Rattus norvegicus: one gene and its partners. The protein of the gene in region 4 interacts with the protein of the main gene of each other region in a biochemical or structural test. Links are inferred from orthologs where the notes say so. Each region holds a gene or a part of one and is shown on either strand. Other genes may lie near its edges.

Region 1 (3,500 bases), on a different chromosome or scaffold from region 4:
CTTATTTTCCCGATTTTGAGCCTGTTTCTGTAGCTTTGACCGTGTGGATGCATGTGGGAATGGGGAGCTATGTGTGCATAAGTGTACATGCCTGAAGAGACCGGAAGATGACAATGGAGAACTTCAAACCCTGAATTACAGGAGTAATTAAATCTGGATGCTGGGAACCCAAGTCCTCTCTACAAGAGCAGTGCCCACTGTGAAGTGCTAGGCTGCCCTCCACCCATGACCCATGAGCACATCACTTCTATAAACCACAAAGGACTGGGCAGGGACTTGGCACTTAGGAGGACTGGCTGCAGAGCCAGGAACACAGGTTTAAGCCCAATCACCCACACCGTGGTCAAGGTTGTAACTCCAGCTCCATGGTCTCTGATGCCCTCTTCCCAGCTTCTTCATGCACCAGTGAAATAGGAGGTGTACATGCATGCACACACACAAGCAAAAGCTCACACACGTTTAATAATAAGCACTATGATATGACATGTATACCTGCTGAGGCTGAAGATCACAAATTATAGTATTTATGTTGTTTAAAATCTCATCAATAAACGGCATTACTTCTCCAACTTGAACCTGAACAAAATGTCTACGGCATTTTTGAGCTATTTTAATAAATGTGTCACAAGCCATGTCCTGGACTCCATCATGGGTTTCTGGCAAAGTAAAAACATTCATTCATTCACTTTTGGTTCAACATAACAAATAAAAAGTAAAATTAGATACCATGAGTTTATTAGGTGAGACTTACCATGCATGAATTCGAAAAGCTTGTTTACTACTGTCTTCAAAAATTTCCAGTGTGCTCTCAGAAACCGTGGGTACTGGCCTACTATGTACATGATATTCGATGCAATGATGGCTTTATTATCCTTGCCTCTCTTCTGCTCACATAATCCTAAGAGGTCCTTGATAACAGTGACAAGGAACCGCTTCTCATCCTCCTCGTGCATCGCCCCACTGATGGAGCCTATTGCCCAGCACAGTGTATTCAAATTTTTCCATGACCATTCTGTACCATTCACTTGATTTTGAAGTTTCTTAGTCATTATTATTTCCGTATCTACATAATCCAGATGGGTAAGATAAACTACAAAAACCAAGAGAAAAATGCAGATGTTTCACATGAAAACAAAATTTTTTCTGCTAAGGTTTAAGAGCATACTGGTAAGCATATGGTTTCTAAAGGAGTCAGGTAAATGTAGAACTTGGACCAAACATTTACTTTTCACAAATATGGCAAAAAAGTATAAAAATTGTCATTTATTTACTTACCTAATGTTTCTCTCATATTCTTATACAAATTTATGGAATCAGTATCCTTCATGAACTCTCTTACAACTTCTCCCTGATCATTTTCTACAACCAGTACCTCCTCTGGTTTAGCCATGCGACTAACCATCAATAAACGAACCTATTGATCAATAAACCAGTAAAGGAACTGTGTTAAGACATTTAGAAGCCACATCAAATATAGGTCAACAGGACTGTGGATCCCTCCCCTATTTAGAGGCTAAGACTGGCTACCAAGTTGGAAATAAAACTTTCAATTAAGGCATAGCCAGCCATACACGCTGGTGAAAACCTGGGAGGCAGATCCACGAAGACCAAGAGGTCAAGGTCAGTCTCAACTAATTAAGACCTACCTACACTTTCAATTGCAAAATGCTTGGTTCTGTGATGCAAGTCTGTAATCTCAGCAGTGGGAAGGCTTTCTAATCTCAAAATTTACTCTTTTGGTTTTTCTGGATAGCCTTGGTTGTTCTCAAACTCGAGATCCACATCCTCTGCCTCCTGAGTGCTAGTATTAAAGGTCATCACCCCGTTTGATCTGTGTTTTTGATCCTATCAATAAACAGTCAACTTCTAATCTATAGACTTCATGTTTTATTGAATGACTAGATCGGGGATAGCCAATGAACAACATACACTTTAGTAAATCCAAATGATGCAAGGATGTTAGCTTAAAAAACATCCTTCTAAAACATTCTTGACAACTGGAAAACCTCTCAAGTTCTCTTCCCAACACTTTAGGCATCAAAGCTATAGTAAGGCTGGAGAGCGCTCACCACCGGTTAGTTCATCATTACCTTGGATAACACGGTCAAGTACAGCTGTCTCCGAGGAGGAATATCAAAGTGCTGACTTCCAGATAACAATGGAGAAGCAGATGTAGAAAATGGACTCTCTCTGTAGAGCTCAGCTGCCAAGTGATTCCAGTACTCAAGACAGATTTTAAAAATTTCAGTTTCTTCCACTTCAGACACCAACAACATGTAATGAAGAGCCTACACATTAAGACCAAAGGAATTAGTATTATCACAAAATTTTCAAATTGCTTCCCCAAACTTAGTAAGAATTAGAAACTAATATTCTGAATCTAGGCACATACATGCCTTTAATCCCATCCCAGCACTTGGGAGGTAGAGAGCCAGGTGGAGGTCAGTCTTGTCTACAGTGTGAGCTCTAGGACAGCCAGCCAGAGCTACAGAGGAAGCCTTGTCTCAAAAAGCAAAACCAAAAAACTATTATTTGAAATACATAAGGAGGGTGCTGGAGAGATGGCTCAGTGGTTAAGAGCACCGACTGCTCTTCCAGAGGTCCTGAGTTCAAATCCCAGCAACCCCATGGTGGCTCACAACCATCTGTAATGAGATCTGATGTCCTCTTCTGGTGTGTTAGAAGACAGCTACAGTGTACTCATATACAAAATAAAATAAAATAAAATAAAAAAATAAATAAATAAATCTTTGAAATACATAAGGAATTTCATTCCTCGAACAGACTGAAAACTGGCAGCAAATTTTTTTCTAACATGCCCTCCAATGTTTCCAGAGTACGTAACAATACAGACTCTTCACACAGCTACGCCCTATAGCTCTGGTGCCAGCTCATAGGAAGGCACAAACTGCACGCCATGCTCAGGAAACCACAAGTTTGAAGTCAGCTACAAGGCCATATGGTGGCAGATGATGGTAAAGCAGAGACTAGAGTCACAGAACTTTGAGAGTGGATGGTTATATATAACCCAATTTCACTCACACCACTACTTTGAGGACTTTGTCTCAACAAAATAAAATACTATAAAGGCTCAGTAAACACAAAACATGAACACGTTCAAAATGAAATATCGGGCTGGAGAGATGGCTCAGCGGTTAAGAGCATTGACTGCTCTTCCAGAGGTCATGAGTTCAAATCCCAGCAACCACATGGTGGCTCACAACCATCTGTAACATCTTCTGGTGTGTCTGAAGACAGTGACAGTGTACTCATCATATATAAAATGAATAAATAAAATCTTAAAAAAAATGAAATATCATATAACAATGAAGAGCATAGTAATGTCAGGGTTGGGGATTTCGCTCAGTGGACTAGCAAGTGGAAGGCCCTGGGTTCGGTCCCCAGCTCCGAAAAAAAGAAAGAGAAAAAGAAAAAATAAAAGAACATAGTAATGTCACAACATACTAAGGTTGGGGATTTAGCTCAGTTGTAGAGCGCTT
Region 2 (3,500 bases), on a different chromosome or scaffold from region 4:
GGGTCATGATTAGCATGGGCACCCAGAATTGATGGAAGAGTAGGTATCATGACTGACTGCAAAGGAATGAGGATTTCACTAAATGTTGGGTCTTCTACCAGCTTTTTAAGCATTTTAAAGTGAGTGCTCATGCTCAATGTAGAATTACTTCCATCAACCTAAAAACAAACAAACAAACAAACAAACAAACAAACAGCATATTTCAATTTTTCTGAGTTAACCTTAAATTACAGAACTTTAATTACATTAAACATTTTACTTTCACAACCTCAATTATTCAACAGTGTGCAATGTCCTAAGTATCTTTAATCTTCTCATTTAAATCTTTTACCTTATAAATAATGTGCCTCTATCACAGGAGTATTTAATGACCAGAGGAGATAGTAGAAACCAGAGATCTATTATCAGGAAAATCTGTAGATAACTCTTTTTGGTTACCAAACCTCATTTAACAACAAGATGATACTGAATTTCTTTTTTTTTTTTTTCTTTTCTTTTCTTTTTTTTTGGAGCTGGGGACCGAACCCAGGGCCTTGCGCTTCCTAGGCAAGCACTCTACCACTGAGCTAAATCCCCAACCCCGATACTGAATTTCTTAATGTAAAGATGAATGCTATGTGTGTTTGATTATTGGATATTCTGATACATTACCATCAGTTAGAATAGTCAATGTAAGTATGAATACTTTTAAAATGAGAAAAAAATTGAATTCCTAAGTGTAGTTAGGATAAAAAAACTAAGGTTTCAGATAAAGAACTAAGCACCTGAACATGTAAAGCACTTATAGGGCCAGCATCCAATAAGTACATTTTTCCTAGTGTTAAGTACATCGGAGGTCAAATACAATTAATGGAAATAATGAAAGGTTATGCTTTTGAGAATAGGTTATTCATGAAAGGAAGGGAAAAAATAGGGTAACCTTTATCTTTTTACCTAGAAATGGTTACTGGATTTTGATTGTCAAATGAAGCGGTTTACCTGATGAAGAACCTTTCCCTTTAATAATCACCCCATATACTTTGATCTCTTACATTTAGCTTCCCCCCCAATCCTAACATAGAACAGTGATTTACTGCTTTATCTACCTTCCTACTTCAGTCACAAGCATATTGAAAATAATTACTACTACTCCAGATGATAGCCACTGCTTACTTCCTTACAAATGTACCAGCAATTCCAGACAGATTTCTACTAGTCATCTTTGTTCCTTCATCACAATGCCTATGCATTGAAATATACCTTGAAAAAATGAAAATCAAGGGTTCATGAATCAAGTACTTGCCTACTATGGATAAAGTCTTGGGTTTGATATCTAACACTATTTAAAGGCAATCAATTAACCAAGAAAAAAACTCTCCATTCATTTTCCTATCTGATACGTAGACTGACATGCAAGTTTTCAAAACTTAAGGATATGACAATATAATCAAAGACTCTTTTAATGCATTTTAAATATATTTTATATTTATTTATATTATTTTATATAGTTGATTTAATATTTTTTACTTAAAACTACTGATAACTATTAAAATATACTTTCAGGGAAATTCAGAAACATTGAGGATATATGAAAGGGGGACATATGTTACAAATTAAAACAACAGAATTATTAAGGTAAATCATACAGGGGGTAGAGGTATATCTCAGTGGTAAAGCCCTTGTTTAGCAAGATTAGGTTTCTGGTTCAATCTCTAGCATATGAAGAAGAGGGGTCGGGGAAAAAGATACAAAGATATATATTTAAAATATACCATTTGATATATTTTGGTATGTGTATACTGATGTACTTAAAACTTTAATGAAACATAACAGCATAACTCACAAACCAGTTTCTATATAACTCTTCTGTATATTATCTCTCATGGCTTGCTGTGCACTAAGATCTGAACGTACCGATTTGTTGCATAACTCTAGTAGCTTGTCTGTTAGGCGAGTTGCATCTCCGACAAACTTTTCTAAAGACTTTTTCATATGGATAGCTTTGGTAAGAATTTCCTTGCATCTGTTCACACGCATGGGATAAGAAGACTGTCAATCAAAAAAGGGGTGGGGATTAAATACAATTCTATAGGAAAGCTGATTGGCAAGAATCAATTTAAAAGACTATTTAAGATGTGAGTTTATAACATAAGCGTCTAGGAAATCAATTTGATAACACCATTTTAATCATACAGCCTGTGAATACTTTTGATAGGATCTTCATTGATGAAACAATCCAATATTTTGAGACGTAGCACAACAGAACAGAAGGAAAATAAAACAAAACTTTAATGAACTAATGGTTAGCTATTTTTATAATTTTGTCCAATTACAAAAATGTGTTGTCAAAGAATATTATATAATTTATCTAATACTAAAGTTATTTAATCATCTAATATTTAAGTAAAAATATAATTGTCAACTTAATTAAAATTTACTGTTAAAATAGGATTAGAAAAGTACATAAAAAGTTACAAGAAAAAGTAACAGTCTGAATTTTAATTTTCCTTTTATCTTTATACTAACTTTTCTATAATATTTACTCATTAAATATACTAATCAACTTGTATATGCCCGCTAATAGATTTTCAAGATCTTGGAATAAAACACTTAAAACTTCACATGGCTGGAGTGATGGCTCAGTGATTAAGAGCACTTGCTTTCACAGAGGAACTGGGTTCAACTCCCAGCACTCTGATGGCAATTTATAACTGTTCTTAACTGCAGTTCCAGCGAGTCAACACTTCCTCTCCTGACGCCTGAGCACCAGGCATGCAAATGGTGCATAGCCATACATCCAAGTAAAACACGCATACACATAAAAATAATCTTTTAAAAAGTGGCTATATTATAAATATTTATTAAAAACTTCACAAAGACAGTACTACTCAAGTCTTTACTCTTCACATATTGGTAACTTCATTTCATATGATAAGTATCTCAAAATATTTAAACTCTATATTTTTCTCTCTATAGGAAAATTACTAACAATATAGGCCAGGACCCTGGAATTTGTATTTATATACTTGCTTTAAACATACTTGACACAGGGTTGGGGATTTAGCTCAGTGGTAGCAAGCACAAGGCCCTGGGTTTGGTCCCCAGCTTCGAAAAAAAGAAAAGAAAACAACAACAACAACAACAACAACAACAAAAAAAAAAAAACTTGACACAGTAAGTGGCTAACTAATGATTACCTTTGACACAGCAGTCATCATCCACATTGCTTGCTGAGGATAGGCCAGAAAGACCTTGGCTATTATTTCCATCAAGACAACAAAAACTTCATCATGAGAATGACAAATTCGAGAGATCAACTGCGAAAAAGCAGTCAAAAACTGATATGGTGCTAACCGATTTGTGTGCTCTGTGAGTACACTATTTATTTTTGCCAAATCATTTCTCATTTGCAGACGATCAGAACGACCACCTAAGGGCAAGTTTAAGGCAGGAAAAACAAACAACATCAGTATTTCAATTCATTTCACAGAAAAAATAACCCTGATAAAACAGCTTTAAAA
Region 3 (3,973 bases), on a different chromosome or scaffold from region 4:
GTTACAGGGAAGAAAGACAATGTTCTCTAGAGTTCCTGGAATAGAGGATTGGATCCTTCTATGCTGCTTGCAGCTCTGGGGTTCTGGAACCGGCTTGCTGTGGAAGTGGGTAGTGCACAGCCTCTACTTTGAAAGAGTGGAGCTGGGGGAAGTGGTTGGGGTAAGGGGGTCATACCTGCCTGGGTTTTCAGGGCTGTGTATAGCAACTTGCAGGCCTGCAGGAGCCACTTGATCTGGGCACTAGGCGAGTAGGCACGAAGGAGCTGCAGCAGCTTCTGACGCACTGGTTCTATCTCCACTGGGGAAGAAAGGTTCAGGTGGGACCCGAAGGCTCCAGGCCCCTGGGTCCGGGCCAGGCGGAAGCCCTCAGCTAGGCGGCCAAGGGAACCGTCTGTGGAAAGTCGGCGCCGCAGGCGGGCAGCTAGAATGGGTCGAAGAGGCTTGAGAACAGAGCGATGCAGGGATTTCTCCAGGACCAATTCTGCAAGAAGAGAGTTGTTGCTGTCAGGGGAAAGAAGCCTGGAAAAGCAGGAGTCCCTCGCCAAGACAGGAGATAGGGAGAAGGGTGAGGAGGAGAAGATGGAATTCCCTGCACCAGTAGTGAGAAGGGGTGGGGGTGGGGTGCAGGGTAAGCAGCAGTCATTAGGTACCAAAGTCAAGGAGAGAGGGAGACAGGGGAGGATGGAGAGCCAGGGACATGAACCGGTGCAGGCCAGGGCTCGGCCTTACCCAGCCGCTCTGGTGGTAGCAGTTTCTCAGGGCCCAGCTCTGCACTCAGCATGGCCCGTGCCCGACTCAGGGCCTGTCGGATGCCCTGCAACTCCCGGGACTCAGGACCAACACGAACCTGGGTCAATAGGTCCTGCACTAGCTGACCCACAGCTGTGTATCGGTTGTGCATTAGCATTGTAGCTGCCCGGCCCACCTGCCTCTCTGGTGCCAGCAGAGAGCAGAAAGCAGAACTCATGGACCGAAGCAGAGGCCGCCGGTGCCTTGGGCGGCTTAGGCGTGGGGAGGTTGTAGGGCTTCCTGAAGAACCCTCCTCCTCTGAGCTGCTGGGGGAGCAGCAGTCCACCTCCTGAAGTGAAGGTAGGGGAGGAAGACTAGGACCAGAAGCACTTCCTGGCACACGGTATCCCACTGAGCTCTCCCTCTGCAGCAGCTGTCGAGGGGGCAGTCTTTCCGTTTGGCTGGAAGATGTCCCTGGCAGAACGGGGACTGGAGGAGGCGGCACAGCAGGTGGAGACAGAGGGCTGGAGGTCTCTGTGGATACACGCACTTTGAAACTCCTCTTGAATTTCTCACGTTTGGTGGGGCCCAGATCCCCGGGGAAGAGGGGGTTGAAGAAGCAGAGGGCTGCACCAGTGCCCTGATCCAGCTCTTGAGGGGAGCGAGCCTTCAGCCGGGGTATCTGCGGAGCTTCTGAAGGTCTCTGTTGGTTCTTGGTGTTGAGAGAGGAACTCCAGAACTCTAGCAATCAGAAACCAATGGGGACCTCAGAGCTGGCTCTGGAGAGTACCCACAAAGAAAAATCTTGGTTGTTCTTTCTTCCCCCCATTTGGCTTCTATGTGTCCATCTGTGTAACAGGCTGCAGGGGACCCTTACCCATGCCCAGATGGGAGATGGCCTCCAGCTCTTTGTGGGTGGCTGCCTGATGAATGGCTCTGGGGAGTCGGAGAGGGAGGAGAAGAATGTCCCTAAGGTCAGAGCAAAGTGCAGTCAAGAGAGAGTGGTGCTCAGATGCAGAGGGTGGGCAGTCCCTGGAGGCAGGCCCAGGGGTCACCAGGTGCCCTGCTGGCAGGCTCACCTGGTATGACAGTATGCACAGATGAGCTGGACCAGGTCCGGGAATGTGAGCTCTGAGCCCTCCAAAGAGATGCCTGAGAGACATTGGGAGTGAGGCCGTTCTCTGGGAACCTCCCTCCCCTGCCTGTCTTCCAGCCCCTTCCCTCTAGGCCACCCTCCTCACCGCCAGGACTCTCTTGGAGATAGTGGCTGGAGACAAAAGAGGGGCCACTAGCTTCTGGCAGCCGCACACATAGAGTCTGGCACTGGCGAGTGTTAGATTTCCGCACCAGGAAGGTCTGCGAGTGATCAAGATTAGGAGGCTCAGGATCTCCACGTCCAGGCCCTTTCCCTCCCAGTCTTGTCCGGCTAGACCTTTAGGAACGGGAGAGACTCACCCCCGGAGGCTCTGTCCTCAGCACGTGCAGTGCGGCTGCAGCGTTGGCCCGCAGCTGTAACCACACAGGCCGGGTGATCAGCAGCCGCTCCCGCAAGCTCACTGTGCGTGCTGGTTGTTGGGACCCGCCTGCCTGAACCCCTCTGGCATCAGGTGTGTCATACAGTGGGTCTGGAGATGGCCTGGGGGCAGACACCCAGACTTGAGTAGGGGTCTTGGGTGAACACCTCTTCCCATTTGGGGCTTCCCATCTCTCCTGTCCTTGCCAGATCTTCCTATAACTGCCCTCACCCCCTGCACCTGGCTGATCTCCCGACTTTACTAACTTTTCTTCCTGTTGGTACCCAGGTACAAAGTTCAGGCTGGTGGCTCCCAGAGGGTGTGCTTCGGTCTCACCAGGGTCTTCCATGGCTGGGAGCTCCTTCAGCTTCTCCTGGGACTCAGGAAGAGAATCCAACCCCCAAGGCACAGGCGTGCACATTCCTGGCGGTGAGTAACACTTCCTGAAGGCGGTTCGCCCGGTCACACCCCGCCAGTTAACTCTTGTATGTCCACTCCATGTAGCCAGTGTCCACTTCTTTTGCTCTTGGCCCAGTCTTGAATGGCAGAGGCTTCCACACTAGAGTCTATCAGGGCCCCCGCTGTGGGAGGAGCACCTCCACACAGCACTTCCTGTAGCCTCCTCACACTATGCAGTGGGATAGGGAGGGGTTAAACACGGCCAACCAAGTTCCCACAGGCCCAAGCCGCACCCCTGGGTCACCTTAAGAAGTCTGTGGTCACTGGCTCATCTGTTCCAGCCTTGAAGGCGGGGTCAGCCTTGTGGGAGAGCACCCCCTACTGGTTGCAGATGACTCATTCCTGAATCTAACTTGGGTTTTGTGATTTCAGGTTGCTATGGAGAAAGGATGCTGTGTCTCCATGGAAACTAAGCTCTTTGCTTAACTGAGGTTCTGGGGGTGGTTCTGACACTCACTGCTAAGCAGAGGGGGCGTGTGGCTGTGAGGTCGACAGCACATGGTGCTGCTGCTAGCTGTCTCCCACACACAGACCCTGCTAGCTAGCCCGCCTTGCCAATTTGCCAAGTGTTTGGGGCAGGTGCAGACATGACCTGACCTCCAGAAATGTGCAGAAGCCCCTTCCCCACCCGAGGCCACGTGCTTCGACTGTTTGCCTGCCCTGGTCCCAACTTCCTTCCTCAGGCTTTTCTCTAAGAACTAATGTCTCAAACTGTAGGGACCCCAGAAGTCTGTCTTAGGTGCTCCCCACAAAAGCCTTGATTCCCTTGTAAGATACAACAACCACACAGCAGTCATATCCAGGTCCAATTTTATTCCAGTCCTTGGGATCTGAGAGGCAGACACCAGGAATGGCCCTGAGAAAGCCTGGGAAGCCAACTCCCCAGTGGCAGTTAGGATGGGCAAGACCCAACATGTCTCTGGCAGGAGTCCCTCCTGCAGCGGGGCCTGGCTCATGACTCAGTGGCCAAGGACCAGGGTTTAGTCAGGAGGGTTGCTGCTTTGACTCTGGATGAGGCCTGTCTTCTTGTGGGGGACACTGAGAAGTTACTCTTTGGGGAGGGGTGGGCTGCTCAGGGATGGAGACAACGGTCTTGCTTGGCCAGGTCAGCGTCAGGGCCGGTTGGTTATACAGATCCCAAGGAGAGCAGAGGAGTCCAGCAGTAAGTAACCCCCTGCCTTTGCAGAGAAACGTTAATCCTGTGTGCGGTGCCAGCTGCCCCAAGGACCCTCCGAGTGTAAATGCAGGGTCAGGGTCCTAGAAGGGTAGAA
Region 4 (3,500 bases):
TAGTGTTTTGTGGTGTCACTCTGAGTTCTTTGTTGACACATTCCTGTGTTCCAGTATACTGTGCTTCTTCTCCTCATCTCTGGCCGTCTCCTTCCTTGTCCTTTGACAGTACCCTGTAGTCTTCCACAATATCTGTGCTCCAGGGAACAAGATAGTCCGGGCTTCTTCCCTGTCTTAGGTCTCAATCACCTGTTTTTCTAAGGAATCCTGGTTCTTAGTGGGAAGAAGGATGCCACGACTTTGACAGTTCACAAGATTTTTACAAACTGTTGCAGCTGGAAGGGACCTTGGAAGTAATCTCACCTTCAAACAACCCACGGCCCGACAGGCATGTGGCTACAGTCACAGAGCTATGCTCAGAACATGGCAGCTGACTTAGAGCCCTATGCTGCCTACCCGAGGGGGACCCTGTGCCCCAGGAGGCTCACCTTCCCCTCTCTCCCTTGCATGCTTTAGAGTAGCTTGAGTAAACAGCTTTGCTCTGTCCTACCTCTCCTAGGCTATTACCATGGAGAGCCTGGTAACTGTCAATGCTGGGACTGCTCTGCAGGTCTCTCTGCTGCACAGCGTGGAAAATGCCTGTATGTCCTGTGTGTGTTGGGGGCGGGGTGTGTGTTTGGGTGTTTTGGTATGTATGTGTGTGATATGTCTGTTTGGTTGTGTGCATGCTATGGCACACATGTGACTGTCAGAGCACAACTCTGTGGACAACTTCTCTCCTTCCACCTTTATGCCGGGTTTCAGGATTGAAAGGTCATTAGCTTTGTGCAGATGCTACCTCACTGGCCAATGCTCACACACCCTGATAGTCTTCCTCTCCCTCTTTCTTTCAGCATTTGGAGTATTGCTCTGGGAAATTGCTACCTATGGCATGTCACCTTACCCGGGAATTGACCTGTCTCAGGTTTATGAGCTGCTGGAAAAAGACTACCGCATGGAGCGCCCGGAAGGCTGCCCAGAGAAAGTCTACGAACTCATGCGAGCATGTGAGCCTCCCCAACCCATTCAGCACTACTCTGAGGAAATTGCACAAAGCCATTCCAGTGGGCCCTGGCACTCTGTCCCTGTGTTCCCAAGCCATCCATGCAGTGTGACTTTGAGTCTTCCGTGCGCTTATTCCCAGATGTAGTACCTCTGGGTTGGTTTTGTCTCCCTCTGGGACAGCTAGTTTTGGTTTTTGTTTGGTTTTTGTTTTGGATCAGGGTCTTGAACTATGTAGCCCTGACTACACAGTGACTCTCCTGCTTGAACCACACAAGCTCGAGGACTACAGGTATGAGTCACCATGCCCAGGTCGCTTTAAGTTCTTTAAGCATAGAGAGGGTTAGATGTCAACCTGGGTATTATTAGTACAGATCCCTAGGTCCTGCTTCCAAATACCTGGCTACAAATCGCTCCAGATGATAGAACTCTGGTGTTTGTATTGTGCGAGTGTATGAGCGCATCTGTGTGGTGTGCATGTGTGCACATGGCTGTATCATGTGTTCATGTGATCATTCCCTCACCTTTTTTTCCTAGCATATAGTGCTGCTGTCTGTATACTTAGATCTTCCTCACCATGTTCCCTACCTTCATTAATGCTGCTGTCTAGCATTTCAGTTAACAGTTTGAAGCATCCACTCATATTTTACACACTTGTTTGCTTTAATTATATTTTTATTATTTATTTTGTTTGTTTGTTTATGGGGCATGCATTCTACAGTGTACAGTTTTGAAGAGCTGATTCTCTTTTTCTACTGTGTGGATCCCAGTGGTCAAACTTAGCATCAGTCTTGGCAGAGTGTGCCATTTTGTGGCCCTGTGTTTGCTGCTGCGTATAAGGCAGACACACACGATTAGCCTCGTCTCTACATGTAGCACGATATTCCTAAAAGCTGGGCCGTAGGTCCAAAGAATCTGTGCTGTGATAACAAACCAGTGATGTTGCAGACGGTTGTGAGTCCCATGGGTACTGGGAACTGAACCTGGGTCCTGTGCAAGAGCAGCAAGGCTCTGAGCTGCTGAGCCACCTCTCCAAGCCCTAGTCCTTTTAGTCTCGTTGTCATGCTATTGGTGATACAGGCTGTGGTCTCAGTGCAAGGTAAGCTGAGGCAGGAGTATTGCTTGTCAAACAGCCCAGACAGTAATGAGGTCTAATCTCAAAGAAGCAAGAGAGATGCTCGTCTGTGCTAATGGGGACGGTAGACACTGATAGCATCAGTAAGGATGGTGACCGAGGCAGGCTGTTGCCTTGTTAACTCCCTGTCTATCACTGGGGTTTGGAGAAATGTTTATAGATGTGGTTTTTATTATCGGTGTCTCTGGGATTTTGCAAACAGTATTACTGCCTGTATATGATGTCTTCTTAATTCTTAGTGTCTGTCAGAGGACACAGGAGTTTTTGCCATTAGCCTGTCCCAGCCTCAGCCATCAGCAGGCTTGGAATGCCTCTTTCATGTCCAGACTGCTCCTTGGGTGTGGCTAGTTCTGGTTTGTTAGCGATGCTCTCCGGCTGCTCTGACGTGGCCTTCTCTGTCCAGGTTGGCAGTGGAACCCCTCTGATCGGCCCTCCTTTGCTGAAATCCATCAAGCCTTTGAAACCATGTTCCAGGAGTCCAGCATCTCAGACGGTAACATGCCTCCCAGGGGCCTGCAGTGGGTTGAGGGTTGGGTTGAGGCTGGACAAGCCTTCACTTCAGACCTGGTACCAGACAGCACTCTTCAGAGGCTTTGGTGGTGGCTCTGTGTCTGTCAGGTGCAGGCATGCAGAGTTCTAGAACATGCCAAGAGCTGTTTCTTCTGCTTTGTGTTCCTTTTCTCTAACTGCATAAATCTTAAGAAAAAGAGAATCCCAGGAACTGGAGAGCTAGCATGGTGGCTAAGAGGACTTGGGGTCAGTTCTCAGCACCCAGATGATGGTAACCCACGACACTAGTCACAGAGGATCCATTACCAGCTTCTGGCCTCTGCACCCATGTGGTACACAGACATACCTGCAGGCAAAATGCCATACACATAAAAAAAGTAACTTTAAAATAAATTAGAAAAAGAGCAAAGAAAAAAGAATCCCTTGCAATCTGGCATCTTTGCTGATGACTACTGGGTTATGTTTATGTGGTCCTTAGAGGTGGAGAAGGAGCTGGGGAAACGAGGCATGAGAGGAGCCGCCGGGAGCACCCTGCAGGCCCCAGAGCTGCCCACCAAGACCAGAACCTGCAGGAAAACCGCTGAGCAGAAAGATGCACCTGACGCCCTGGAACTGCTCCACACGAAGGGCCTGGGCGAAAGCGGTACGTCCGCCCTTCCCATCCCTCACCCCTCAAACCAGGCAGGCAAGCAGAAGCCGTCAGTGGGCCTGGCACAGAGGGCATCAGTCCCTCCTCAGTGGTCCAGCCCAGGGAAGAAGATTTGCCTCTTGCCCAGGGGAGCCTTTCAGCAGTTGCTTAGACAAGCTGAAAACTGGGACTCCTGCCAAGAAAGCACATCCACCTTTGCTGTGCTCTTCACAGCCCTGTGGGCAT
Region 5 (4,000 bases), on a different chromosome or scaffold from region 4:
TCATATAGCTCAGCTGGCCTTGAACTCATGGTCCTCCTACTGCCATCTCCCCAGTGTTGGGATTACTGGTAGTGCCACCATCACTGGTCTGGGACATGCCTTCCTGTTCATCTAATTTGGGAATGCTGTGACCAATAATCCAGCATCAGTTTTTTGTAGATTTTTCACAATGGTCATTCGTTTAACAATTTTCTGATCATTCAAGACTAGATGTGGTTTTAAGGCGGGCAAAATAAGACAGTATTCCTGTTGTAATAAAATTTCATCCTGTCCTGTTAGTGGTGGCTCACATCTTTAATTCAAGCACAGGGAAGGCAGAGCCCAGTAGATGTGAATTTGAAGCCAGCCTGGTTTATAGTTAGTTCCTGGATAGCCAGGGGCACACAGAGAATTCCTATCTTGATTGGTTGATAGATAAATAAATAAATAAATAAATAAAGAAAGAAAGAAAGAAAGAAAGAAAGAAAGAAAGATAGATAGATAGAGAGATCGGTCCTAGTGTTGTTGGAGAGAGAAAACATGTTGGGAAGGCACAGCTGGAACGGCTGAATGGCAGGAAATGAACTTTTGGAGAGAGACCAAAGGTCTGGAGCAGGCAAAACCTGCAAGCCAGATACAAGTGTTGCATTTCTCTTGCTACATCTCAGAGCCTGAAGTGGCCAAGTCACCATCATCACACTGTCCTCGTCTTAAAGCATTAGTCAAACTGACCTTCACCATCATTCCACGTGTACCAAGTAGGATCACTTAGGGTAGGCGTTATTCAGTAACCTATTTGATGGTCAACTCACTGCCTAGGTCATGCCCTTCCTAAGCCACCTGACTTATCAGGGCCTTCAGGCTTAAAAATCACCTGAGGGCCACGCCTCCCTGTCCAGACATCCAGCCATCACGCTATGCTTTGTTCCCAGAAACAGGTTTTCAAAACGCTGTTCCCTCTCGGGTCCAGTTGTTTTCCTGCTAAGCCCGGTAGGCCTTACAGCAGCAGCCACTCAGAGGCTGCTTTGCGATCCAGGAAGGGCTTGACCCTCTGCCTCCTCCCGGAACGCGGGAGCCCGCACGAGTGGCTTAGGCTGGAACCCTCGCGAACGCACTCCTGATTGGCCGCGCCCAGTGACGTCAAAGGAAGAGCCCCTGCGGTGGGGGTAGCGCCCAGCTCCGCGCAAGCGCAGATAGAGTACGCTGGACCAAGGGGGAGGTGCCCGGTCGCTTCTCCCGCGTCCGCCATTTTGTTGCTGTGGCTATTGGGAACGGGTAGGGTAGGACGGTCCGGGAGGCGCGACTGTTGTTGGAGTGCGGTGCTTCGTGTGACGGCGAGGAACCGTGCGGGCTCTTGAGGCTGCGGAGCCGGCGGCTTCCAGGACAGAAGTCGCTGGATCCTACTCCGGACAGCTGAGAAGCCCGAGGCGGCCTCTGCTACTGCTCTGTTTCGCCCACCTCGACCCAGGGGTTTTGCCCACTGTTCCCGGACCGGCTCTCTCCGAGAGGCGGCCCTGTGCAGGAGGGCGGTGGCGGAGGATGCTGCGGGGCCCGGAGCCTAGAGGAACGTCCTGACCAAGCCCTCTGATTGTTCCTCGAAGTGTTCGAGAAGAGGCCCTTCCTCGACCCCAAAGCCGACAGCGGGTAAAGGCTTCCAGAGCAAGCGAGAGCAGCAGACGCCGCCCATCCCCGGGCCCAACACCATGTCCTCCGCCAGGTTTGATTCTTCAGACCGTTCTGCCTGGTACATGGGGCCAGTGTCTCGCCAGGAGGCGCAGACCCGTCTCCAGGGCCAGCGCCATGGCATGTTCCTAGTCCGGGACTCATCTACCTGCCCTGGGGACTATGTACTGTCCGTGTCCGAGAACTCGCGTGTCTCGCACTACATCATCAACTCCCTGCCCAACCGCCGCTTTAAGATCGGGGACCAGGAGTTTGACCATTTGCCGGCCTTGCTGGAGTTCTACAAGATCCACTACCTGGATACTACCACCTTAATCGAACCAGCGCCCAGGTAGGCGAGCTCCTGCCCTTTTCGGGCTCGGAACCTGACCTGCGGAGGGTCGGTCAAAGATTGAAATTTGGGGGTGGGGGTAAGGGATACTCCCTTTTCTCATTCTGAACCAGAAGACATTCGGATTGGAAGGCCAATGTCAGGATCTGGGTTGGATGAAAGGATGCATTTTATTTAGACATTTAGTAGTGCTTGCATTGTTTAAATCACCACCACCCCCAAGCCCACACATACATAGTTTTGTCACTTTAGTTGACTGTAATACTAGTGCAAAATTCTTATTAACGACGTTAAAATATATAGACTATCTTGAGTTTCTGAAGATAGCCATGACTACTACTTTCTCGAAATTCATGTACACCATTTAAGGTTTTTGTAGCTCCTGCATCTGTCAGCTAACTGGCCTTCAGCCTTTGGAATAATCCTTAAAATAGATCGAAAGGGTAGAAATCTCAGAATCTGATGCTGTAGCACTTAAAAAAACAAAAAACCAAAAAACTGGAATTACCAAGGAAAGAGATTGAGGTTTTATTTGAGGGAATTTGTATCATCACTGTTCCTTCCGCAGGGTGCAAAGTGTATTTACCTTCATTCTACATTAATTCTGTTTTTTTGGGGTTTTTTTGTAATTAAGTCTAGTTGTTTAACATATACTTTAAAGACACCCAAGTAGCGCTAGACGGGAGAGATACACGCCCCTAATCCTCTAAGGAAAGAGGACCTTGATTCCAAGCCAAACTGAGCTGTAGCAAGACCCTGCCTTAAAGAAAAAGACACTGATCCCCAAGTGTTCTCTTTTTCAATTAAAATGCATTATTTTATAATTTGCTTTAATTTTCCTAATAATATCATCAAATGATACAAGTGTTAATTGAAAACATATCTAGACACTTTAAAAGATATTTTACTGCCCCGTTTATTTCTAAGCTATTCTAAGAAAGAATTGAGGACTGATTTAGATTTAAGGTGAGGTGACTTCATAGAGGTGAAATTTGCTCAGGACTTTGAAATTGAAAAGATAGTATAATTAATTAAAGGCACCTACTTAAATCCAGAGTTTCTTCTTGAGGATAGAAGAATAAGCTGGGATGGTACAGTGAATGTATGTACGGTTAACGGCCAAACTCTGGATTTTAGAGTGTGGAGAAGGGCTAAGTGGTGATGAGGAGGGAAAGTGTGGTCCCCAGACCCACGCAAGCGTGGAAGGAGAGAGCTGAGTCACAGAGCTGTCCCTTAGCCCGGTATGCGCATCATGGCAAGCGAGTATCCTCACACAAGTACGTTTTAAAAATGTGAACACAGAAAGGTGATTGTAAAGAGTAATGCTAGCAAGAGGAGGACACTCAAGTTCTGTGAAACATGAAGTTCCTAGGCGATGCTGGAAGGTGTAAGAGCTTGGAGAAACCTAGGAAGGATAATGTTGGGTGATACAGCTAAGTAAATTACTCTCTTATTTGTGGAAGTGGATTATATTATTGACTTCGGGCCTTTATTAAAACATGCTTGCAGCATGTGACAGGTATTGGAGAAAGTCTAAGTTATTAGAGTCACCTCAAAGAGGGGAATGAATACTGCAGTGGCTTCCTGCTATTTACAGATCTTACTCTACTTCATGTGTCTCTCAGGTACCAAATGTAATTTCCTGAGTTTTTCCTTAGCTCTACTTGACATGCATTCCTATCTTTTCTGTCTTGCTTAATTTCCAAATGAAAGAAATAACCAAGTCATAATTATTCCAAATTTGATATAACTGTCCCTTGTATAGCTGCAAATTGTACATTTTAAATTTTAGAACAGATGGCAGTGTACCTTGAGGGATACTCTTTTAGTATCTCAACTTAAATGTAATAATTACTGATATTCTCCTTTTTTTTTTTTTTTTTTGGTTCTTTTTTTCGGAGCTGGGGACCGAACCCAGGGCCTTGTGCTTCCTAGGCAAGCGCTCTACCACTGAGCTAAATCCCCAACCCCCTGATATTCTCCTAATTGATCTTATGTTGTATGGTA
Region 6 (4,159 bases), on a different chromosome or scaffold from region 4:
AGAGTCAAAGGATGTGGTTTCACAAATATGGGTTTTTAAGTTTGGCTCAATGTCATCTTGGGAAGGTGGGAGAGACGGCGTCTTATTTGGGAAGACAAGAACTGTTGGCAGGTTTTATTTTACCTGCAAGGCTACCAGCTACCTGCAATATCCATTTTAAAGTACTAAGCACGGAACGTTCTGGGGTGATGGAGAGGGACCGAGATATTTTTTTTCCCAAAGCAACACTGACTTTCTATTTCTAGGGAAAGTCGTGCGTGTGGACTGATGCCTTGGAGCAATAAAGAAAATGTCCTGTTCTTGTGTCAAAAATTCCTTCAGCAAGCATTCCCTCTGGTGGACTGACTTCTCGGCGGGCCAGCTGTCCAGGGCCTCTGCCAGGGCAGTCGCAAGGGGAGCGTTTCAGACTGTGGTCTCCACTGAGCCTCTCAGATCCTGCTTCCCCTAGGAGCCCCTACCAACACCGTGCTCCCACTGCCTGACAGGTGTTTTCCCAACTCTAGGGGCAGTGGATTTTGGGGAGTGTCTGAGCCAATAAGATTTCTCCTTAGGGGGAGGGCGTGGCTACATGGGTCAGAGCAGGGGCGGGGCTTGCGCAGCGGAGGAAAGCCTGGCTGGTTGCGTGGAGGGTTGTTTGATTCCCACCCCCACTCCCCTCTTTTTTTCTTTCTTTTCTTTTCTTTTCTTTTTTAAAAAATCTTTCTCCCTGAGTCTTATTAATTTCTCTGTGGGGCTGCGGCTGGAGACCGCGGAGCGTTGGAAATGACGCTCGGAGCTTTAATTACTGCAATGGCTGGACAAGTGTGAGGAAAGCTGACAGTGGAAAAAAAGGGGCACAGGATCGGGGAGAAGGAAAGAAGCACCCCCCCTCCTTTTCCCTCCAGATTTGGACAGGAGATGCAAGGAGACTGAAGAGAGAGCTGAACATAGCCTGGTTTTGGGGGGAGAGGCCGGAACCCTGCCGCCTCTTCGCAATCAACTTTTTTTGGAAGCCTTTATTCCCCCTCTTTCTTTTTATTGTTGACCAACCAGTGAGAAGGAGAGAGAGCGAGCGAGAAAGTGAGGAGTGAACGGGCGAGCAGAGGATCACTCCGGAAACTAGCTGTACGGTTGTGCTCGGAGCACCAGCCGCACAGTCGCGCACACTCCCATCCGCGCGCCCTCCTTCGCGGCCCCTTGCTGGGTCCGCGGGTCCCCGGGTCCTGGAAGCCGCCACCAGCGCCGACTGGCTCGCCAACCCCGGGAAGCCCGTGCACAGAGCGCGCCGCGCCCGCCCCCCTCGCGCCCCCCACGCGCTCCCGGCTGAGGGGGGGAGATCTCCTCCGCGTGCCCGCAAGTGGCTATGGTATTTGGACATGTAATTGTCAGCGCGGGATCTGAGACTTGCCAAAAATGAAGCTGGCGACGGGACTGTGGGTCTGGGGGAGCCTTCTGGTGGCAGCCAGGACCGTCCAGCCCAGCGCTTCTCAGTCAGGTGGGTCGCGGTCTCGCGGTTCCCAGTCGCGCTCCAGCTGTTGAACCCGCCACCGCCTCCGGTGGCTCCCTTCTCCCCTCGTTCCTCTGTCACCCTCCGGCTTGAGGGACCGTAGGGACCTTGCTTCTGGCTTGGGTCGCCCCTTGCTCCATCCCAAACTTACCTTTGTGTGTGCGTGCGTGCGTGTGTTTTTATTGATGCTACAAATGACTCCTCTTTCTTGCCTCCCTCTGTATTATTGTCCCCCCTCTCGCCCTCTCTTTAGCCCCCTTCTTTCTTTCTGGCGCGTTTTCTGGGAGCCTAAGCGGGATCGCTTCTGGTGGCGCCCGTTGTTCGGGGCGTGGGAGACCTAAGCCCCGTCAGTGGAGGTTCCCTCCTCCTCCGGCTGGGAAGGGAAAAATAATCAAACCAAACCGGAGAATCTCTGCACCTCTTCGGGCCGCCAGGAGGTTCCCGGGCTGAGCCTGGCTGGCCTTCCCGGGGTGCAGGGCTGCGGCGGAGCGCGGCTGGGGAGCGGGGTTGGCACCTGAGCAAGCTGGCACGCGGCCGCCGGCCCGAGTCTCCCGTACCCTGCGGGGTCACATCGGACGCTCAGCCCTATCCGGGCAGCTGGAGCGCACCGGGTGCGCGCCTCGGCCAGAGGCCAGGGACTCTGGGCCTTCTTGGTTGGCATCTCGGGGCTGTCTTTCGATTGACTTGGGGCGAGAAGGGGGGGGGGGCTGGCTCGCCTGCCAGCAAGATCTCTTAAGAAAAAAAAAATCCTGGCATACTGAGCCCGGAGCCCGGCCTTCCCTCCCGGTGCTGGTCTTGGCTCCGGGAAGAGTTCTTCCAGTAGTGCAACTTGGGGTTGGCCTGAACTTCTGTTTACTGCCCCGCCAGGCTGCAGAGCCCGCGGGTGGCACTCATTGACTTAGCCCGAGGCGGGCCGGGTGGCGGCTTCCTGAGTGCCGCCACTGTTGGCCCGATCGCCCAAGCCCTAGGTATTTGGACAGAAAAACGACTAATTGACCCCGAGAGGCAGCACAGAGTCGCTGGCGTGCTGGGGCCGCCAAGGCCAATGACAGCGGCTGAGACGTAGAGGAGCTCAAAGTTTTTTGACTCTTGGGAGTTTCTCCCGGATGAGAGGAGGGGACACGAAAGGACTAAGGAGAACCGGTGTGTCTGACCCGGCTGAGAGGGGCGAGAAGAGGGCTTTTGGAGAAGGCAGAGAGATTTCCGGAACCTTCCGGGGCTGGTGGCGGGAACGTGGGAGTCAGCTTGAGAAGATAAAGCGTTCAGCAGTGGCGACAGGGAGAGCTTTAGGTCCCTAGAGGGTGTCCTTCTGACCTCACCGAGAAAGCGGCTGCTTGCTAGTTTTCCCGCTCCGCCCCCGCTCCCGCCTCTTCCTCCTCGCCTAGTAAATAACAAGTTACAATCTCTGAGCTGTTCAAAATGACCTTCGAGTGGCACAAGCTCGCCATTTGTGCTGGCCGTTTGCATACTCCCAGTGACTCCGAGATTCTTCGTGCATTCCAGATCCTGCGCTCCAGCCACCTCTGGAATCAGAGCGGCAGCAAGGACTTGAGATTCCAGGCGGCCGCCTAGATACATCCCTTTCTAGCTTCCCACTCGGAGCCCCTTGCCTTTCCCTTCAATGGGTTGATTATGCACATTGACCCATTCAAAGACACTCGCAACTGTCATGCAGGCTTAGCCGAGAGGAATTTCTATCAGGCCACCCTACCAGGGGGCTGTCTGGCATGGCCTGGGCCGCTGGGAGATCCCCCCTCAAGTCCACAGCAATTGGTATTAACTCTACAGCTCCCGGTTGGGCTATGCCGAAGAGCCCTTTTCAGAATTTAGGCAAGGAATGTAATCCAAATTAGTTCTGTAGCTGTCCCCTTCCGCGTCTCAGACGACACCAGCTTGCTCCTTAGCTCTCTCTGCTCCTTTCCCTGGGCGAATTGTCAGACCCACAAGTGAGCCCATTTAGAAGCACAAGGATTAGCGTGCCATTGTTGTTTCGTGTGTGTGTGTGTGTGTGTGTGTGTGTGTGTGTGTGTGTGTGTGTGACTCTGTACTTGAAATTCTGGGGACACAAAAGAGAGACTCACTTGTTCAAAACACAAAGTGATCTAGATGAAAGGGCCGCACAAAGAAAAGCTCTCGGGTGCATCCCTGGTATAATTGCAACAAGCATACTTAGGTGATCTATTGGAAACTGTCTGTGCCCCCAGGGACTTCTTTTTTTTCCAGGCGCCTCCACCGCACCTGGCAGAGAAAGTTCAGCTGGTTTTAATGTAGTGCTATTATAAAAACAAGACGCTGTCTGGTGAGAGCGAGGCTCTGTGTTTGCGCCTGTGCGTGTGTGGCTGTCTATCCAAGTAAATACATAGCGCGCGTCTCCTCTCTCGCGGTTAGCAGTCGGCAGCAGTTTGGAGGAGTTTGTTTTGGTCCAAATGAGAAATTAAGTGCGGATAAGTAAACTAAGCTGCCAGAGGGCGACAAGATGTTGAGTGAATTGCTTTTAGATGAAACAAATTAAGGAAACGAGGGAAGACAATCTGCTTCTCGCATTATTAGACACGCTTGGAGTTCAGGGGGAAGTGGCATATTTTTGAAATGCTAATTTCTTAAGCAGAAGGAATGCACCTTATTTACTGCTGGATGTGAACGGAATAAAAACATACAGTGGGTGATTCCCTT
Region 7 (4,121 bases), on a different chromosome or scaffold from region 4:
TCAGAATTTGTGATATCCTGGCCTAAGGAATAATTATAAAGTAAATACACATATGTATTTATATACATGTGCAGTATCCATGAATATTTACATATAGTATTTTATAATCTTAGATTAGTGAATTGCAAATTCGTTACTTTATTTGTGACGGGGCAAGACAGTGCAGAGGTTCCTGTATCTTCTGGTCTTGATGAGGGCATTTCAGGTTTAATTGGAATTTGATCTCCTTGATGGACAATCCATGGAAAATTACCAAAACATGTTCTAGGACCCCAAGGTCAAGGTGCCCTAGGGAGTTTATCTTAGCATCTGTTAAACTGCCTCCTCTGGTGAAACCCAACTGAAGCTTCAAAAATCCAGTGTTCTGGACACACATACTCGGGTTACAATTGGGTCCCAAATGCCTGAGAGTAGTTCCAGTTGACTGGAATACAGACTTTCAATTGACTATAGACTGTATCAGAGTGGTTATCCTTGGGAGCCTTCCTGTAAGCAAAGCCTCAGTGCTGTCTTAAGTGAAGCAAGAGGCTGAGACCTGAGGGATTTGCTTCTGAGGAGAAAGGCAATCCTGGAAGGAAAAGAGCCAGAAAAGGAGTGCACAAATTCTGCCACTCACCTTGTGGTGAACCCCTCTAGCGTGAAGGTAGAAGGGAACCTGACAGAAGCTCAGTCAGAGGATAACTGTCCAAAGGTGCAGAGCATATATGCACAGTAACTTCCTATGTGCATGGAGAACCAGAGGTCCTCCACAGTGGGGGTGCCTGACAAACACTCCTTGGTGAGGAGGCCAGCAGGAAAGGGGACACTGAGAATGGCCCATTCTTCTGTGGGCTCCCACCTGAAATCCTACAACCCCAGTCTAATCTCCAAGAAGAACATCAGATAAAAAACGGCTGATAAGCATTGCAAAAATGCCTGGTCACAACTCAAAACCTCAAGGTCACTAAAGCAACACATGTCTGAAATATGATCTGAGTCTAGAAGAACCCAAGGGGATGCAATAATTAAACACAGTGTGTTATTCCAGATGAGAGATGGGAAAATACAAAGACAGAAAAAGGTGAGGAAATACAAATAAAGATAGGACCTCAGTAAAAATGAACAAACAGTACATCCGTAATAATGATTAAGTTATTAAAAATAACACTGGAGACAAGACCTAAGGAGATGGCTCGGGGGTAAATGGCTACTTTTACAGAAGATCAGAGTTCAAATCCTAGTACACATGGGACATCTCAAAAAGTCCCCAACTCCACCTCCAAGGGATCTGAGGTCCTCTCTGACAGAGACTATGGAGAGGACAGAGACTGTGGAGAGGACAGCATCTGAGGAGAGGTCAGTATCTGTAAAGAGGACAGAGTATGTGGGGAGGACAGAATCTGTGGGGAAGGCAGAGTCTGTGGAGAGGACAATGTCTGTGGAGAGGACAGCGTGTGTGGAGAGGATAGTGTGTGTGGAGAGGACAGTGTCTGTTGAGAGGACAGTGTCTGACAAGAGAACAGAGAATGTGGAGAGGACAGTGTCTGTGAGGAGGGCAGAGTCTGTGGAGAGGACAGTGTGTGTGGAGAGGGCAGTGTCTGTGGAGAGGACAGTGTCTGACAAGAGAACAGAGAATGTGGAGAGGACAGTGTCTGTGAGGAGGGCAGAGTCTGTGGAGAGGACAGTGTGTGTGGAGAGGGCAGTGTCTGTGGAGAGGACAGTGTCTGACAAGAGAACAGAGAATGTGGAGAGGACAGTGTCTGCAAAGAGGGCAACATCTGTGGAGAGGGCAGCGTCTGTGCAGAGGACAGTGCCTGTGGACAGGATAGCATTTGCTGAGAGCAGATATACAGGAGGCGAAAATGAGTGGAGAGTAGGAGATATACTAGGGTTTGATTAGCTGATATCCAATGAACCTTTATGTGTTGTCACCACTTGGAAATTCAAGAGAGCTTGTAAGTCACATGTCCTGCCTTCCCATTCCTCCCTGGTCCAGTTAGAAGTGCTTTGAACCTCATGTGGCTATATTCATGTCTCCTCATGCTCTCAGCTTCCCAGGCTGGAGACAGACCACAGATTAGGACTCTGAACCCCTCTGGTAGGTGAGAGAGTTAGTGTCCCAGGAAAGAGCAGCCCCTAGAATTTCACCATGGCTCTAACACTTCTTTATGTCCACCTGACTATGCACTGGCCTCCCTTTCTCCCTTGGCTTTCTAATTTTCCTCATTTCTGGGATGAATTCCTCCATTTCCTTCCTTAATCTCTGACTAGCACTATGAGAGATGAAGAATGGGAGGTAGGGAATGCAATTAAGAATGTATCTAACAAGAGGCCGATGCCATGGCTGTAATCCTGGCCTCAGGAACTGCTTCCTGGACTTGACATTTACCTCTGCCCTCCTTGTGACCTCTGTAACTGTGGTTCACAGTTACTCTCCTTCCATCAATCTTAAGTCAAGTAGGAAATAATAATAGTAATTACTTCATACAGTGGTCATGATAATTAAAGAAATTAATACAAGGAAAGTACAATTCTGTAAATTTTAATCATTATTTACTTTTACTAGAATCCCACCATGTCTTAGAAGTAATTGTGTTTCCACGTCGAATATGCAGTACTGATGTTTGGATAACTGTAGCCATTTCTTCTCCCGGAGTTCCATGCACTATGCTGTGGAGTGCCTAGCAATTGATCTCAAGTGATGGTGGTGTCCTGATAGCGCTATCTTTGGCTCAGATACAGCTTTCTATTTTCGAAGTGCTTGTACGGACATTATCTCAGTTAATCTTCACAGGAGCATGGCGAGATAATTGGGACAGCATTTACTATTCCCACCTACAAGATGAGTAAAGAGGAAGAGGGGCTTGCTTACTATTTACAAGGAGGGCAGAAACAGGCATCCCAGGGCTCCCAATCTCTTGCTTTTGCAAGCTTAACTTTTACACTGAACTGTTAGCCCTGGCCACAGAGGACGAAGGAGAGAGAGTAGCTCTTCCACCTCCAAAGGCTCATGTACCCTCCCAATAAATCCAGTATGCCTAAAACCATGTTCATGGTTGGTATGTTCAGAGACCTCTCCCTCTTGTCTGGTGTCTGTGTGCACCACTGCAGGTTGACCAAGAGAACAATTTATACTGTTAGTTATGGAGAAGTCTCAATAGCCTACAGCAGAGTTCTTTACCTTTACAGTAAGGTTAAGATTGGCATTAGAGAGAGTCATTTTCTCTCAGACTATTTTGTGTTATTTGGGTTGGGTTATTCTGAATTCAAACAGAAAAACAGGGGATCAGTGAATTACCACTATCATCTTCAGACAGTCTCAGACAGACCAGAACTAAGGCTACTGTTAATAATAATAATAATAATAATAATAATAATAATAATAATAATAATAAATAATTGTGATATTTTATCCAGGAAGCAAAACTCTTGGCAAAGTTCCTTTCCTTACCTAGCCTGCCTTTGCTCCACCTTCCACCCTCTTTCGTGTACCCATCCTTTCTCTTCCCCTATCCTCGCTCTCGATCGTCTACTGTACATCCTTCCACCCATCATCTGTTCATCTATACATCTTCTACCTTCCACGCTCCACCTCCCATCTCCTACCCTGCACCTACTCACCCTCCGTCCACACATCTGTCCTCTCCCCATACAGCAAATCACTCACTCACTCATCGGAACTCTTAGCCACTGAGGAATAACATCGCAAACATAACAAAGAAGGTATTCAGATACTTTTTATGGCAAATTATCTCTGATTGGTAGGACAATTTAAAAGCAATTAGTTCTACTAATCATGTCAAAAGGAAAGCATTTTCTACAAACTGCTACAGTCAAATATATAGTTCCAAGGCTTTGATATAATACCTAAAGTAAGATAAACTTAGTTACAAGTTTATTATATAAATATAATATACTTACATATAAATATAAAATATAAAAATACGTAAATATTAGTATTATTTAACAAATGTGTGTTAAATGTATAGTATTTCATTTTTCCCAATATTTTCTAAATATATCAGATTTAATCAAGACTTCTAAATGCTAGGCTAGCATACAAACTAAATGAACTGTAAACTTTCTGAGATCTGTTTGGTACACCTCCTAGAAAGTGAGTAAGTAAATAACTTATTTTAGCA

The links.
Region 1: the proteins of Abl1 (region 4) and Xpo1 interact in a test that uses a peptide from one of them, tested with the Homo sapiens proteins (2 studies listed by BioGRID). The link is inferred for Rattus norvegicus from reciprocal best matches to the Homo sapiens genes ABL1 and XPO1.
Region 2: of the proteins of Abl1 (region 4) and Atr, one has a biochemical effect on the other in vitro, tested with the Homo sapiens proteins (2 studies listed by BioGRID, with this or other methods). The link is inferred for Rattus norvegicus from reciprocal best matches to the Homo sapiens genes ABL1 and ATR.
Region 3: of the proteins of Abl1 (region 4) and Rin1, one has a biochemical effect on the other in vitro, tested with the Homo sapiens proteins (2 studies listed by BioGRID and IntAct, with this or other methods). The link is inferred for Rattus norvegicus from reciprocal best matches to the Homo sapiens genes ABL1 and RIN1.
Region 5: the proteins of Abl1 (region 4) and Crkl form a complex in vitro, tested with the Homo sapiens proteins (4 studies listed by BioGRID and IntAct, with this or other methods). The link is inferred for Rattus norvegicus from reciprocal best matches to the Homo sapiens genes ABL1 and CRKL.
Region 6: the proteins of Abl1 (region 4) and Erbb4 form a complex in vitro, tested with the Homo sapiens proteins (2 studies listed by BioGRID and IntAct, with this or other methods). The link is inferred for Rattus norvegicus from reciprocal best matches to the Homo sapiens genes ABL1 and ERBB4.
Region 7: the proteins of Abl1 (region 4) and Prkn form a complex in vitro, tested with the Homo sapiens proteins (2 studies listed by BioGRID, with this or other methods). The link is inferred for Rattus norvegicus from reciprocal best matches to the Homo sapiens genes ABL1 and PRKN.

Annotation. Positions count from the first base shown.
Region 1 is NC_086032.1:101,461,950-101,465,449, reverse strand, and holds part of Xpo1 (exportin-1), read right to left. Parts: intron 2,289-3,500; coding exon 2,091-2,288; intron 1,415-2,090; coding exon 1,276-1,414; intron 1,091-1,275; coding exon 752-1,090; intron 657-751; coding exon 493-656; intron 1-492. UniProt on the Homo sapiens protein: Mediates the nuclear export of cellular proteins (cargos) bearing a leucine-rich nuclear export signal (NES) and of RNAs.
Region 2 is NC_086026.1:105,379,322-105,382,821, reverse strand, and holds part of Atr (serine/threonine-protein kinase ATR), read right to left. Parts: intron 3,410-3,500; coding exon 3,177-3,409; intron 2,029-3,176; coding exon 1,894-2,028; intron 159-1,893; coding exon 1-158. UniProt on the Homo sapiens protein: Serine/threonine protein kinase which activates checkpoint signaling upon genotoxic stresses such as ionizing radiation (IR), ultraviolet light (UV), or DNA replication stalling, thereby acting as a DNA damage sensor.
Region 3 is NC_086019.1:211,783,934-211,787,906, reverse strand, and holds the start of Rin1 (ras and Rab interactor 1), read right to left. Parts: upstream 2,801-3,973; 5' UTR 2,665-2,800; coding exon 2,510-2,664; intron 2,366-2,509; coding exon 2,185-2,365; intron 2,086-2,184; coding exon 1,971-2,085; intron 1,882-1,970; coding exon 1,809-1,881; intron 1,699-1,808; coding exon 1,607-1,698; intron 1,471-1,606; coding exon 730-1,470; intron 482-729; coding exon 176-481; intron 1-175. UniProt on the Homo sapiens protein: Ras effector protein, which may serve as an inhibitory modulator of neuronal plasticity in aversive memory formation. Can affect Ras signaling at different levels. First, by competing with RAF1 protein for binding to activated Ras.
Region 4 is NC_086021.1:35,471,587-35,475,086, forward strand, and holds part of Abl1 (tyrosine-protein kinase ABL1), read left to right. Parts: intron 1-833; coding exon 834-986; intron 987-2,519; coding exon 2,520-2,609; intron 2,610-3,104; coding exon 3,105-3,269; intron 3,270-3,500. UniProt on the Homo sapiens protein: Non-receptor tyrosine-protein kinase that plays a role in many key processes linked to cell growth and survival such as cytoskeleton remodeling in response to extracellular stimuli, cell motility and adhesion, receptor endocytosis, autophagy, DNA damage response and apoptosis.
Region 5 is NC_086029.1:97,064,658-97,068,657, reverse strand, and holds the start of Crkl (crk-like protein), read left to right. Parts: upstream 1-1,200; 5' UTR 1,201-1,682; coding exon 1,683-1,993; intron 1,994-4,000. UniProt on the Homo sapiens protein: May mediate the transduction of intracellular signals.
Region 6 is NC_086027.1:78,042,807-78,046,965, reverse strand, and holds the start of Erbb4 (receptor tyrosine-protein kinase erbB-4 precursor), read left to right. Parts: upstream 1-1,359; 5' UTR 1,360-1,392; coding exon 1,393-1,474; intron 1,475-4,159. UniProt on the Homo sapiens protein: Tyrosine-protein kinase that plays an essential role as cell surface receptor for neuregulins and EGF family members and regulates development of the heart, the central nervous system and the mammary gland, gene transcription, cell proliferation, differentiation, migration and apoptosis.
Region 7 is NC_086019.1:52,212,932-52,217,052, forward strand, and holds the start of Prkn (E3 ubiquitin-protein ligase parkin), read right to left. Parts: upstream 2,801-4,121; 5' UTR 2,642-2,800; coding exon 2,554-2,641; intron 1-2,553. UniProt on the Homo sapiens protein: Functions within a multiprotein E3 ubiquitin ligase complex, catalyzing the covalent attachment of ubiquitin moieties onto substrate proteins. Substrates include SYT11 and VDAC1.